Struthio camelus: one gene and its partner. Each later gene encodes a partner of the first gene's protein in a complex. Links are inferred from orthologs where the notes say so. Each region holds a gene or a part of one and is shown in the gene's direction. Other genes may lie near its edges. The genes, in order: AKAP17A and PPP1R8.

The links.
Region 2: AKAP17A (region 1) and PPP1R8 share a complex: the UniProt entries of both Homo sapiens proteins name them as parts of the spliceosome. The link is inferred for Struthio camelus from reciprocal best matches to the Homo sapiens genes AKAP17A and PPP1R8.

What each region holds. Positions count from the first base shown.
Region 1 is NC_090942.1:147,316,566-147,324,023, reverse strand, and holds the start of AKAP17A (A-kinase anchor protein 17A), read left to right. Parts: upstream 1-4,257; 5' UTR 4,258-4,324; exon of another isoform or gene 4,325-4,412; intron 4,413-4,784; 5' UTR 4,785-5,235; coding exon 5,236-5,997; intron 5,998-7,458. UniProt on the Homo sapiens protein: Splice factor regulating alternative splice site selection for certain mRNA precursors. Mediates regulation of pre-mRNA splicing in a PKA-dependent manner.
Region 2 is NC_090964.1:2,894,888-2,902,845, reverse strand, and holds the start of PPP1R8 (nuclear inhibitor of protein phosphatase 1), read left to right. Parts: upstream 1-4,827; 5' UTR 4,828-5,025; coding exon 5,026-5,087; intron 5,088-7,958. Other genes in the region: STX12 (syntaxin-12), read left to right, coding at 1-80, 1,560-1,652. UniProt on the Homo sapiens protein: Inhibitor subunit of the major nuclear protein phosphatase-1 (PP-1). It has RNA-binding activity but does not cleave RNA and may target PP-1 to RNA-associated substrates. May also be involved in pre-mRNA splicing.

The sequences.
Region 1 (7,458 bases):
TTATATTAAGTGTAACATTAAGTGCGACAGTAAGCACAGCGCACTGAGGTAAATTGGTAGAACTATCGCGCTCTGCATCGGATACTCCTAGTCTGTGCTAACAAGATGAATTCCTTGTTGTACAGATGAATTAAGAGGGAATGGAATTATCTTTGTATATAGTCATATTCTACTTATTTAAATAGAATACAACAATTAGGTCTGTAGAGGACCAGTTACAGGAAGTGATGTTTAATTCCAATTAATTGAAATTGCCCCATGTCAGCACACAATTCTTCTAACGACATGTATTCTTCCCAAGGCAGACAATCATAAGCACAGTTTTTACTGACACATAGCATTCAGTTAGACCAAAAAAAAAAAAAAAAAAAAAAGGAGCAGAGATAATGGAAGCAAAGTGAAAAAAATAGAACTGTTTCTTGCCATAGAAAATAAAACAATGCATCATGTGCTGCAATTCTATGCTTCTACCCACTTAGAGGCTTCAAGGCATCAGGGCTTAATTTTGTTTTGTGGGTAGAGCCAATTTAATGTCTGGAAACATCATTTTTACTCTTTTCAAGAATTACGCAATCTATTGGTCCAAGTCTTCTGTGCTGCTGCTGCATCCACCTCCAGCTACTATCCATAAACAGTTTGATGGTACAGTGAATCACTCTGGTTTTTTTTTTCAGTAGGAGAGAGAACAAAGAGATGTTCTCTGTTAAGTGACAACAGAAAACAGAAATCACACTGAAAGTAATCAAAGGCTGGTAAGGACTGTAGCTGTTTCTAAAAAGAAATATACTAGGAGTATTTATGGACTTTATACAGCAGAGAAGATTTAGATGATCACTGGAGACAAATCAGTCTCAAACAGAAAAAGCCAAGTTTTAAGCTAAAAAGAGCTCCTCCTCTTTGGTATTTTTCAGAGGGGAAGAAGCAAGGAAGGAATGGAAGTAGCACTGCTGCTTTAATGCATTACACATGTAGCTTCTTGCATTCATTGCCACAAATGATCATTAAAGGCAAGAGCATGGTGCAGAATGAACAGCGGAATAAGTATACAGATAAGACCACGCACAGTAAGGAGAATTGTGTCCTCTTGTAAGAAAAGCAGAATAGTGTGTATTAAGGCATGAATACAAAACTTAGTATCTGCTGTTTATAGTCTATTTTAATTGTGTTTGTGAATACATGTATAGATAGATTTTGTGCATATAGATAGATAGATAGATAGATAGATAGATAGATAGATAGATAGATAGATAAAACAAGGGCTCCCTCTAGTGAACTTTTAAGGGATTCAAAGTGTGGTGGTTGTGACTTCTAAAGATACAAGCAGACAAGGTTTGTAGGTAGAAATCTTATCTGCTATTAGACCACTTGTTGAAGTTGAGCAAGACACACAAGTCACTTTTCAGGTCTCTAGCACAATATATTTGTTGCAGTTGGGGAAATGGAATGTGTTACAGTGACAACCAGATTGAATGCACTGTTATGCTTGGATACTGTCACTGATGTTTACCTTGCCTGTTCATGCTTCCTCTTCCTGGTATGTGTGATATGTGACCTATTTTCTGAAACGCAAAAGGAACCATTTCATTTAGTCACTTAGGTATCTCAATATAGTTTATAAAACAAACAAAACAAAAATGCACATCTACTAATTGTATTTGTGCAGGCAGAAAGTTTACCCTTGCCACATCTTTTATATCTTTCTAATGCGCATTTCAACTGTTTCTTCTTGTCCACAGCCTTTACAATATTATTCAATATAACATCACATTCCTTTTTCCTTTCCCCTACCGTGTTAGATAATACATTTGTAACATTCCTTTCAGCCGAGAGTATATCAGAAAAATAGTCTGTGAAAGATATTATGGTTATGGTTGGTAGCACAACATGGGTAACCTTAATTCTATCATTTTGTAAATTTTCAGGCACAGGATTCAAAACTGTTGCCCTACATAACATCTCACTCCACTTCTACTGAAACTACGTGGAATGTGACTGCTTTGTTCACTCCCAAATGAACTTTCAAGATTTTAAGAGAAAGCGTAGCATACGATGCAAGTATTCTCCAACTATCATACATGAGCTATTTCAAGGTGTTGTACAGTGGCAACAGCTTCTGATTTTGTCTTTGTACAAATACTTAACTAAACCGTGGAATGCATATTTCTGTGCAAGAAATTAGAGGAGGGTTGGCAGTTACCAACATCCGTGATGTGAAATAACACTTCTATACAACAACTGCGGTCTCACAAGGACTGCTGGATTGGTGGTAACTTCCTGTGTTGTGTTTTGACCTATGCTTTAGAGTCATTATTTCCATACAGTGGTTATCACCAGTCTGCTGCCACAGGTAACTGCAGTCCCTGTTTCTCAGCCTGTGGGAGCTTACCTAAGGTGGGACTGGGTGCCTGCTTTCATATGCTGCAGGGGGAGCAGGTGATGTGGAGAGAACGGGTAAGTCACTGACTGAGGTCAGGAGGATGGAAGCAGTAATGGCTTGTGGGCTAGGGATATGCAGCAAGAAATCGAGAGAGGTAGGTGGTGGCATGTGATTATAGGGCCGGTGTTGAAACCGGGGTCAAGAACATGCGATCATTGGAGGGTGATGACAGAGCAGATGGAGGCAAGCCTTCTCCTGTGCATGTGTGCTGACCTATGCAGAGTTGGAAACTTTTGCATCCCGTACTTACACTGAAGTATGAGCAAACCACCAGTGGTAAAACTATAGTGGGAAGCTTTGATATTCTGTATTATCTGCAAAATAGTATAAGATCATATAAAAATCCTGTATTTTAGGTTCAGCCAGCCTATTTGTATTTTGGGCAAAACAGACATAAAAATCAAACAAGCACGAAAGAAGTAACTGTCCCCTGCCCTCACTACTGCAACTTAAATACCTTTTTTCACTAATATAAACTGAAGACCAGGAAAGAAAGAGAGCACATTCAAGAGACCAGGTATTTTGGTATGCCTTGAATATATTTACTAATGAACAATTATATAAACACTTGTCAATACTTTATATATTTTCCGTTCTTTTTTCCCCTCTCTTTCCCTCTGTACATGCCGGGCAGTTAAAAAAATTCCTGAATATTGGGAACACCAAGGACGTGATGCAGTTAAAGACTAGGACCTCTACACTCAGGTGCCTACACGCAGACGTCCACCTGTGACCTAGGGGCAGGATTCAGCTGCCTGGCAAATGGGCCTAGCGCCTACTGAGGTGCCCTAAGGTACCCGAGACGTCGTCAGGATTTGAGGAGACTCACAGCCTCCTAGAGCAGCAGCCAGAGACCCAGCAGGACCCAGACCCCACAGCTCCTGCGATGACACTGGAAGCTCAATTCACTTGTCTAAACATGTGTGCCTACAGCCATGCAGGTTGTCAGCATAGCCTCCAGCTGCCAGTATAGACAGGTTTCCTCCACGAACAATTTTTATAATTATTTTCGTAATTATGTAGGATAATTTTTAGCCCCATATACATAACTTGGGTATCTTACAGCATCTTAAATAGCATTAGGCACCCATGTTCATACGACTAAATTGTGTCTGGTTGATTTGTGAGATTGTTTATAAATACAGGGTTTGGGTTCTTTTTCCCAGAAAAGCACAAACTATCAGAAGTGTGTGGGAGGCTATTTTCCTTGGTAGACAGTGACTCCGGAGGCCCCAGCACTGCTCTCGGCAAGGTGCTCGGTTTCTGCCCTCTCATCTCCCAGTAGGTAAGAAGGAAACGGTGAGAAAGATCTTCTTGGAAAGCAGGCCTGTTGGCACGCACCGAGCGCAGGCAGGCCAACGCTGCTGCGCAGCGCACGCCTGACAGGGAGAGCAAGAAGCAAGGGCCTGCTTTTCACTAGAAACTAGTGGAGTCACTTTGCCGGCAAGTTTCCAGCGCGAACAGAAAACAGGCCGTGACGCTGTCATTGCCAGCAGGGCCACAGAGAGAAAATGAGGTCAGAGAGGGCCAAACAGAAACACCAAGCAGGCCACGACCCACTTTCTAGGCAACTGGGCAACGGAGCAGAAACGCAGTTCCTACCAGCCTTCACACAAAACTGACGCTTGCGGGGGAGTTTTAGGGCCCCGCAAGCCGCGCAACTGCGCCTGCGCCGCGGCCCTCCCGCCCGCCCGCCGGCCTCCCCTCCCCGCCGCCTGGTGTCGCCCGCTGGAGCCGCGGCCCCGGCGCTACCATAGAGAGCGGCTCCGCCCCTCCCCTTTGCCGGCCAGGACGCCTCCCCCGCTAACCCCCCCCACCCCCGGCCGACGCGGAAGCGGAAGCGGGCCTAGCGGCGCGCGGTGGCGGTGGGGGGCGCGGAAGGGACGGGTGCGCGGTGGGCGGCCGTTTGCTGGGGGTGGGAGTCCGCCGCGCCGCGCCGGGCCGGCTGCGGTGAGGCGGCGCCGAGGCGGGCGCGGTGAGTCTCCCCGTGCGGGTGGTGGTGGTGGTGGTGGTGGTGGTGGTGGTGGGTGGAGAGGCCTCACTGTGCCCTGGGAAACCGGCAAGGGAGGGGGCAGCGGCGGGCCGGGCCGGCCAGCGGGGAAGGCCGCGGCTCCCCCCCCCCCCCCCGCGCCCGCAGGCGGCTCGTTGCGCAGCCGGACGTGCGGCCCGCACGCAGGGGTCACTCGCTGCCGTTTGGCTGGTAGCGCGGGCTGGAGGGCTCCCAGCCTCGCCGTGCCGCTCAGGCTGCTCTGCGGTAACCGGAGGGCGAGGAGGCTTCTGGCTGGAGGGGGGGGAGGAGAAAAAAAAAAAAAAAAAAAAAAAAAGCAGTGTTCTTCTCTCATTGCAGATACCCTATGAGTCTTTAGAGTGGAGAGCGTGGAGTCTGTCCTCAGTGCTAATCTGCTGTGGTTTATGTGTTGTTAAGTAGACTTCGAAGCCGTGTGACATCACTCCTCCTGTTCCTTTCTTCCTGAAAAAAGGGTAGCTGCTTTCTGAGCCATCGCATACCAACTTCATTTATTCCTAGATTGTCCTCAGCGTCTTGTTTTTTCTGAGGCCTTACTGAGATTTAGTTGTTTATGGGCTCAGGTGGTTATAAAGTAATTTAAGATGCTTGTGTTACTTGATTTTAACTCTCTAATTGACTTTTATATTAAGAGACATTGGTTTTACTTGGGAGTGATTAAATGTCCAAGGAGTTCAATTCTTTATGCATAAGGGCTATTTTATTTGACATTTTTTGGCCTACAACTTAAACTTTCATCTTTATTCTTTTTATCCTATGCTTTTTCTGTGTTATGGCTGCTGCAACAATAGTTCATGATACATCAGAAGCTGTAGAGCTCTGTGCTCCCTGTGGGTTATATCTTAAGCCCATTACAAAAATGACCATCAGTGTGGCACTTCCTCAGCTGAAACAACCAGGAAAATCCATTTCAAACTGGGAAGTTATGGAAAGATTGAAAGGTATGGTGCAAACTCATCAGTTTTCTACTCTGCGGATTTCTAAAAGCACAATGGATTTCATCCGGTTTGAAGGAGAGGTTGAAAACAAAAGTTTGGTGAAGTCTTTTCTGGCATGCCTTGATGGCAAAACAATAAAGCTGAGTGGCTTCTCTGACATTTTGAAAGTCCGTGCTGCAGAGTATAAGATTGACTTTCCCACCAGACATGACTGGGACTCTTTTTTTCGTGATGCAAAAGATATGAATGAAACTTTGCCAGGGGAAAGACCAGATACTATTCATTTGGAAGGCTTACCTTGTAAATGGTTTGCAGCAAAGGATTCTGGCTCAGAAAAGCCAAGTGAGGAAGTTCTCATAAAAGTTTTCAAGAAATTTGGAGAAATACGTAATGTGGACATACCTATGCTGGACCCTTATAGAGAAGAAATGACTGGCAGAAATTTCCACACTTTTAGTTTTGGAGGCCATTTAAACTTTGAAGCCTATGTTCAATATCGGGAATATGCAGGTTTCATTAAGGCCATGAATGCCCTGCGAGGGATGAAGCTGATGTACAAAGGCGATGATGGCAAAGCAGTGGCTTGCAATATAAAGGTGAGAACTACAGGCTCTTGTATAATAACCCATGTTAAAGAACAGATGCCACTAAAATCCTGTGGACTAGCTGTAATAGAATGTTGAAAGGAAAATGATAGAAAGAAGAAAAATGTGTTATGTTAGGCACAGAATGGGTGGGGTTTTTTTCCTTTTTCTCAATGGAAGGACCAAATACATGAGTATGACTTGTTCATGATTTGTGATTTTTGAAAATTAATACATATCTATAAATATTGTCATTTCTCTTAAAAATTATAATTCTGAACAAGTTCAGACATATTTCGCTAGAAGGTTGACTTAAATGAAATGTCCTCTTGTGTACACCACAAATGGAATTTTTGGGGGAGAAATTCACAGCCTCCTACACTGACAATGAGGTCTACCAGACAAGTGTCAGGATTCTGAAATTTAATAGTCTGTGACCTATAAGACCTGTGGAATGCACCAATTGATCATGGTTAGTGTACTTCACGTACGGAAAGGCCTTAAAAAAAAAAAAAAAAAGTACATGTTAAACTGTAGCACAATTTCCTGTGAATCCAGTATGTTGAATTCATAATATTTACATACCAAGATTTCCAGATCTTTTCTTTTTGTGCAACCTCATTGTCTTAGAAAACAGAACTATGGCAGGAGAGGACAACGCGTCCTCTTCTGATGTAATGTCAATGAAAGTATGGCCTAAGGACGACTGCTCTGATATACTTGGAGTTTGTCCATCCAGTTATGTATCAGTTGAGTGAAATGTTTGCTTACTTATTTCAGTGGACTTCATAGTCATTCATCAAATCAGGATGTGTATTTCAGGAAAAAGCTTGACTATTCGTTTTTGTAATACGGGAACATGTAAATACTTATTTAAGTTTTATTTTATTAAGTAGAATACTATAATCTTGTTACAAAGCTTGTCAGTTGGAGCATAGAAACTCTTTAGACCTTAACTTTTTTATTTTCCAGGGGTTGTGAAATTCAGACTGTCACTTACATACACTGGATCAGGGTTCCCAAATTTAGTTTGTCCATGCAGGAGGAGGAATGCTTTCCTGGCAGCTGCCCTGGGGATTGAATAGGAAAGGGAGAGGGCAATGTTTGCAACTGTGCTATCAGGACAGATCTCCTTCATACATAGTTACAGTGCTCTGACCTTTCCAACTCTGCTTCTCTCTGTCCATCCTTTTAACCTGCTAGTGGAACATCGTTTTACATACAGTCGGAATGAAATAAATTGTGGAGTACTTACTCTTTGCCTTGCACCCCATGGTTTGTATCTTCCGCTGGCTAGGGGGTCTTTGGGAACACACTATGGATCTTTCTATGCCTGCATAGATGGTATCTAGTGTGGGAAATCAGGACACCTGGAGTGTGATGTATGCTGGGATCCTGTTCCAGCACATGATCGACCATGACCAGAGCGCCCTTAGGTCCTGGAAGGCCCAGGTCTTATGGTCCAGATTATAT
Region 2 (7,958 bases), on another chromosome or scaffold:
GCATAGAGGCAAATGTGGAAAGTGCAGAAGTCCATGTGGAAAGAGCCAGTGAGCAGTTACAGAGAGCTGCCTATTATCAGGTAAATTCTGTATGCTTTGTATTAATGTCAACATACACTTGTGCAACATGGTACAGGCATAACAAGACATATAATGAGGACTGCAGCATGCCAAACAAGTTCTTAAAAACAGCTTATGCAAGCTGGCACTTCCACAAAGCTGTACTCTAAGGAATAAATAAAGCGCTTGAGTGAGAAACACAGCATTGAAATTAGCCCTCTAACGCAGAGGATATGCCGTCATTTTGTTCCTTCACGTAGATGTGCTCAATGAGTTTAAGTGCCTAGCTTTGCCGTTCTCGGAAGGTAGCGAAACAGTTAAACGAGAATAAATTCTCATGATGTACCCATCTTGTAAATATGCTGGTCAAGACAATACTCTACAGAACTTTGTGTAAACACGGATGTGAAAAAAATCCATATACAAACTTGGGCAGTTTCTGCTCACCAGGATTTGCAGGACCTTTCTGACTGCTCAGTTCCCGTTCCTTGGTCTGTCCTAAGTCCCATCAACTCTGTAAGGAGCAGTGACAGCCACTGCAAACTTCTTTGTTTATTATATTTAGCGCTTTCTTGTAGGCTCCTTTCCTGATTGTCCTTGGGGGGTTTAGATTCTATGAAAGAATGGGGGTGCTCTGTCAGTCAGTCAGTTCAGTATAGAGTTTTACTGCTGGTACCTCAGGACAATATACCAGATAGGAAACTGGACTTCCTCAAGCTGTTAAGTGAGGAGATATTGGAAGGCAATAAAACTCCTGTGCTGTTTAGCTGCAGGGAGGGAAAGTAGCCTTTGCCAGCTGCCAGGATATAGTATCATTTTCTCTTTCCACGGGTTCCATTATAAAGTGAATCTTCAAGGTATGATAAAGCCAAGTCTGGCAGATTTTGGACATGTATTGGACATATTCTTCTGGGCAGAGGAGGTTTTATATAACTAACCTCAAATCCTTAGATAAAAGTATTCTGTATATATGGACAGGTTGTAGCTTTCTGTGATGATTAAAAGTGATCAAAACTGTAAAATCCAAGTACCATAACTGTTTATCAAAGCTTTTAAACTGTAGAAATGCAATACAATCTCCATGCCAACTCCAGGTGACCAAGGAGAGATTATATCAGGGAACTAGTTAGCAGTTATTACTTGTCTTAGCTGGAAAATCCAAATAGCTAGAGGTAGTTAGTTTTCCTCTAGCTCTGGTGGCCTACCTTAGGTATGAAAAGCATATGCTAGATGCTGTCAGGTTCTCTTTTTATAGGCAATTTGAGTGAAACTTGTATTTTCCTTGAGAGAAGCGAGACTTGACACATTTTTGACTTAACTGCACCTCTTAGACTATGCTGAAACTGAAAACAGCTAGCTATAAAATCATGCTGTTTAAAGAATGCTTAAGCCGTGTAGTCTGTACACTCCTCTTGAATAAGGATGGGTACAGAGTGCTCTAATCTATCCTCTTGTCCTCTGTTCTTGGTGTCAATGGCTTTTTTTTCTTCTTCCATTAGAAGAAATCCCGTAAGAAGATCTGTATCCTGATTCTTGGTCTTGCTGTGGCTTCTCTAATCCTAGGACTTGTTATCTGGCAGGCAACAAAATGAAATTTTCATGTGGAACCTAATCTCATTGCAGAGAGCAATTCTCATTCCCCCAGAGCGAACAGGCTGACTAGTCTCAGAAATGAATTGACCACCTTGAGAGAGCAGAAGCCGGAACTTCTTCTAGTAATAGATATTAGCAACTAATGTGCAGATAACTAGTATATGGAATTAGTGAACCATGGAGACAGTATTTATCAGTTTATATACAAATTACATTGTTTTATGTAACTAAGATCTTGTGGTTTTTTTCCTTCTGTAATGTATTATTCCCTGTCCCAAATGTATACTGAAGTGTGATCAATAATTGGAGATGTCTTGTTTTTTGGCAAGTGGCACAATTTTAACATTTTGTATGTATAGGTAACTTTGGACTGGAATAAGAATGACATTCAAAGAGGGCACAATACAGATTTGCATTACCTTAATCCAGCAGTTTCTAAAGTCTCCAGTGTCTTCCCCATGGTTTAATTAGTCTCCAGGTGGCCATGGTTCTAAACTCTCTTATAGAGAAAGATGCTACTACAGATTTGGAAGGTAGGAAGTAGGCATGGATGACCACAGTTGGAACCACTAGTGTGCTTAGTAACTGGTCAGTTTAGCCATGAGACTTGTAACTGTTCTATTAATGTTTGAGCACAGTTGGTGGTTTGTGGAGTTTAGGGGGGGGGGAAGGGGCATTGTTTGTTTTCTTCAAATGCAGCATTTGTGAGGACAGAACACCTTTGACTTAGGATAATCTAACGATGCAATTTCCTTAGATAAACTGGCTGGTGGTTTATTATTGGACAAATAAAACTCTTCCAATGCTGACTCTCAAACACTAGAAATACTAAGGTGCACGAAATCCATATTAAGTAGTGGGGGAAAAAGTTTAGCTGTTCACTCCTAATTGCTTTTTAGAAGCTTTTAGGGAGAAAATCATGCAAAGATGAGAAAGTGGGCACCTAAATTTACAAGCTAGCAAGATAGGTGAGTATTACCTGAAATGCTGCTTCTAAAGAAGTACTCTCGAAGCTCGCTTGTAGTGTACCAGTGAATATTACATATTGCTTGTGAACACTTGGTATTTTCCACTGTTTATGAAATAGAAAGTGCAGCACTTGGCTGAGTGAAGTGTTAGGTTTTTAAGACTGTTTGAGGATGTGTGTACAAATGAAAAAGATCTCTAGTTGAATTAATGTCTCGCTAGTAGAGCTAGAGAGAACATAGCAGCCACTCCCCACTCTGATGTAGCTCTGAACTGACATGCACTGAGGGAACAGTAATCTGTCCAAAGCCCATCACAGTGTGGCAAATGCAGCATACTGACCCATTTTTGTATTTAATCCTTATTCCATGTCTCCTGTATAATAAAGTAAATGTGAAAGCTGGGAAGGGAGTGTGTGCTCCCAATTGCACAGTGTTTTGCACTATTGCGCCATCATTCCATCTAATAACTGTCAATAAACACTTTTAAAAGCCTCTGTCATAGTCTTTATTTTCCAATTTGTTTGCAACTGCCTCTCTTTGCAATCAGTGTAGAAGACTTTATATCTGCTTTAGTGGTGTTTCCTCCATTTTAAGTTCAACAGTCCCTGATTTTTCTTAAGCTAACCTAGGTAAAAACATGGAATGACTTCCCTGTGGACATATACAAAACTCCTGTGCAGCAGTCCTGTCCAGTAACTGATCATAGAAAGATGAATCTGGCTTCCTTGAATGTTGATTGGTAAACTTGGACTGTTTGCCTACTGCTGGGACTCAGTCTTTACTGAGTTAAGCTGACTCAAAAGCAAGGGAAATGAGTATGTGTTGTTCTACTCCTCCTGAATGGTGGATCTTGTTGCTTTATGCACTGCCTGCTGCATGGGGAGTTTCTTTTTGATATTACACTTTCATATGAAAATAAAAGCCCTTTTTTCACCATTTTTAAAGAGAGCCTGGGTGCATTATTTTTAGGTTCTGTCCTAACCTAAATCAGTTGCAGCTGCCTGAAACTGAAGTAGACAACACAAGTGCTTCCTTGAGTCAGGACTGCTAGAATTACTTGCTTCCTTTCTCTTCCTTTGCTTTGTTGAACTGAGTCTCTGCAGGAGCCCCACTGCTCTTTTTAACAGTGGTCTTAACGAAGATGCGTGAATGTGAAGGATTGCAAGCAGAAACTCTCATCTCCCTTGCTGCAGCACCATGGCACTATGAGAGAACTTTCCTGCCTCAGGGATTGTTTGCTACCACTGTACTAACTACTGAAAATTTATTGCAGGAAGTTTACCTCTCACAATGAGATCCAGGGATGGAATAAGCTTACTTGCCCCTTTTGTAGTGATAGCTATTCCTGCAGTGCTCAGGGGTGTTTGATCGATTTAGTGACAGCTCTTGGGGGAGCTGGGGATTATTGGTGAAAACTAGTTTTTCCCCTTACGGGCTCAATTATCTATACCAGTAAGAAAGTATATCATCAATATTAGCTACCATCTGATTTGTTTTCTACCTAAAATTTATTCAAAAAGCTGAGAAGGATCCTGAAAAAACCTGTCATCTAGCTAGAATGCTTGTAAAAGGAGTCTTAAAAAACTTGTTGCAGAAGCATTGCATTTAGCTTATTTCTCTGCAATTTTGTATACTTGCTAACATTTTCATTGTTTTTATCCACCTCTTCCTTCTCCAAAAGCAGTTAGAAGGAAGGCCCCATGGTAGAAGTAAAAATGTGTTTTAATAGCTAAGGTTATGTAGCGTTTCTCGGTTTCTTTTTGAGGAATTTAATGACATGGATGTAACTTACAGGGCCTTCTTGGTGCCCTGGGGTGCGGGGAGATGAGGCCCGGAAGGAAGAGGGGCAGGAACACTAAGATCGGCAAGCGTCTGCGCTGTCCAAGGCCTAAGGCGCAGCGCAGCGTGTCTCTGTCAGCTGGGCGGGCAGAGGCCGAGGACCGGGCAGTGCGTCCCGGTCGGCTGCGGTCTAACCCGGCAGAGCCGCCCCGGACCGGCCGCCCCTCGCGTCTTCCTAAGAAACCGCCCTGAGCCACGTTCGGGCGGGTACGAGGCTGCCTCGGGCCGAGGCGCTTCCTCCAGCCTTCCCCGGGGCGTAGGGGCGGCACTGGGCCCCCGCCGGGGCCTGACGCGGCCGCCGAGCCGCCCCGGTGACCGCGGAGAGCGCGGCCCCGCCGGGCGCGCGCGCACCCCCCGGAGCGGGGGAGGGGCGCGAGGCGGGCGGCGAGCTGGAGCCAACCCCCCCCCCCCCCGCCCCGCCGCCGCCGCCGCCGCCCCTGCCCCTGCCCCGCCCCGCCCCGCCTCGCTCTGGCGGAGCCGCGCGGGGCACTCTGGGACTGCTTCTCGCTCGGGTCCGCCTGTTTCCCATCCTGCCCTCGGCCCGCCTGAATGGGGCAGATGCAAGATGGCGGCGAATGCGAACTCGGCCGGAGGCGGCGGCCTCTCGCTCTTCGAGTGCCCTAGCTGGTGAGCGGGCGGGCCGGCGCCGTCGCCCTCCGCCGGGGCCCTCGCCTTTGGGTTCGCCGCGGGCCTTGAGCGGGCTGGCGGTTGCTGCGGCGGAGCGCTGGTGCCCGCCGGGCTGGGCAGGGCCGAGCCGGGCCGGGGGAGTGGCACCGGGCCTGGTGGCGGCCGCTCATGTGAGGGGAGTCTGGGACCGGGCAGGGCCGCGGGGCTACGACGTCTCCCGGGCGCGGGGACAAGGCTGCCTGCCCGGGCCTGGGCTCCCTCAGCCGGGAGCGGCAGTAGCTATCTGCCCCCCCCCCCCGGGGTGCTGGGCCCTGTCAGGGGGCTCTGAGAAGTGCAGCCCTGCGGATGCATCCTTCATCAGCAAGTGCCTGCGGGTTATCTTGGTTCAGTGCCGAAATACAGAGTTGGCTGAAGCTCAGAGTGCTTTCAGGAGATGCTTTGTGTTTTTGCAAGGGCTTAAACAAAGCATATGATACAGGACAGATTAAATTTCCTACTTAAGCTACGTATACCGTACAAAAAAGTCTATCAACTTAAAACTAGCCTGGATTTATATTGCATTGAGTAGGAAGTCAAAGTGATGTGTTGAAGAAGCAATATTAGAAACATGAATAGGGTTGGTTTTAGAATCATAGAAAAGTGCAGGTTGCAAGGAACCTCTGGAGATCATCTGGTCCAACCTTCTGTTGAGAGCAGGGCCTTAGATTAGGCTTTCTAGGATCCTATTTTGTTCTCTTCGGGTTCTTGGATAGGTGGCTAAATAGGCATTTGCTGTGCCATCTTCTTTTTCAACTGATTATTCAGGTTACACGTACTTTAAATTACATGGAAAATGACATAGCACTAGAGCTGAAAATTCAACCACTTTTGTATTAGTTAATTAGTCCTTGCCTGTGTATGTGCATGACTACAGTCTTTATTTGCATAGTCATAATCATCTTTTTTTTACTGTGGGTCCCATACTTTTCTTCAGTGTTTGGATGATAGTGCTCAGTGAATGGATGCTTAGTAAATGTGCTTTTTAACTTTCACTTATTTTATAAGTCCTTGCTTTAATCAGTGAATGTCATTCAACTCTCTCATGGAAGAGAATTTCTCCTGTATTTTACCGTGTTGTCTATGGTAAGCGTATGTAATAACAAACATCTGTATGAGACAAGATGGTGGTCTGTGTAATGATGGTGTGATGGAGTAGGTAAACCTACTAATTGCACAGTGTCAGTACATTCTGGTTGTTCAACCTGGAATTTGACATAGGTCCTTAATTTTTTTTTTCATAGTATTTTTGTAGCACGGTGTTCACAACTTGCACTGTATTCAGTAGTAAATACTAGAGATTTCTGCCTCTGGAAGCCTTAGATTGAATAGCTGAAAAGGTGTAACTTGTTAAATGTTTAGTTCAGGCAGTTGCATGCTATTGCAGAAGAATTCCTAAATAAATGCCATCTGGAGAGAACTGTAGCAGCCATAACTGTGAGGGCCTCTTTAGCTATGTACTTTCTGGCTTCTGCTACAAACAGGGTAGGGTCTTACAGACGGACAGCTTCCTTCACTGTGCTAGCATGAACTGGTTTTGAAGCACAAATCCATTGTGCTGAATGATAGAAAAATGAAGTGGAAGGGGAGTCAGGGGTCTGATTAAAGCCAGAATTTTCACACCCATGAGTAAGGGAACCATATTCAAGTACCATAACTCATCTTCATTGTGACACTTCCAAATTTTTTTGATGATCAGCTTTTTGCAACCTGAATATTCTTTTAGTATAATTTTCTAAAATACTCCTCAGGTAAAACAAAGCTAGTATATGGACTCTCTCCCTCTGTGTTTTCAAGAAACTATTTACTTTCCACTAAACCTCTATTGGACATGTACAAATTGTAGTATTTTAGTTAGTTACTGAGTAAAATACATACCTGATAGAGTTTGGTCTTAGTCAAATTGTTGTGAATAGATGTGGTAAATAATCTCGGTGTAAGGTATTTTTGTTCTTTTTTTGTTTTGTGTGTGTGGGAAAGCTTAACATTTCTATTAAAACAGGTAAGCTGTTACATAAGCCTGAAAAATTAGTATGTAGCAAGGAGCCAATGTGGATAGCTTCCAATAACAGTGTTTGTATTCCGCTAAAAGTATAAGTAACTGCAAATGGAAAACGTTAGGCAGCTGTGGCTCATGGTACTCCACTGTCTCATCCAGTAGGAGGGAGGAGCCCCTCCCCAAAAGGTTGAATTTATTGACCTCTAATTTTGATTTCCTAGTCTGCAAAAAAGTAAAATACCATATTTCTTGTAAAAACTTTACATTCCTTCTGCTGGCACCTACTAAATTACAAATTCAATGTTCACAATTTTAAAGCTTTATTTCTTTTGGAGCAAACCAAAGATCACGTGATTTTTGAGGCTGAATAACGATAGGTCTTTCACCGCAGATTCATGTGCAGAGTTGCTCTATGTGTGAGCTGCAGTTATGATCCTCCAGAGTGAAAATGGTTTGCAGTAGCAGGCTTTGGACCAGTAGTTTTGTTATTTGACGCTCTTGACTATATGAAATCTTCCACTGTCTTTGGGGCCTTCATGTAATTGAGATTCACATGTGTGTTATATTAAATGTAATCTACTGTGTGTGTGTGTTTGACTCAAAGCTTCCTGTTTCTAGTTTGTCGGCTATAGCAACCAGTAAATGAATAGCTGGCTTCAGCAAGGTTTTAAGAACCTGAATGGAGAACAATGAATTTGCTTTAGTATTCAAAGGTCATGGCAGAGAGCGAGTCTGCTCATGGAGTAGGGAATGAGAGAGAAGGCAGAATTTTCAAAGTCATTTTGACAGTTGCTGTAATTAGTTCTTCAAATTTTATTTATGCCAAGGACTTTCTG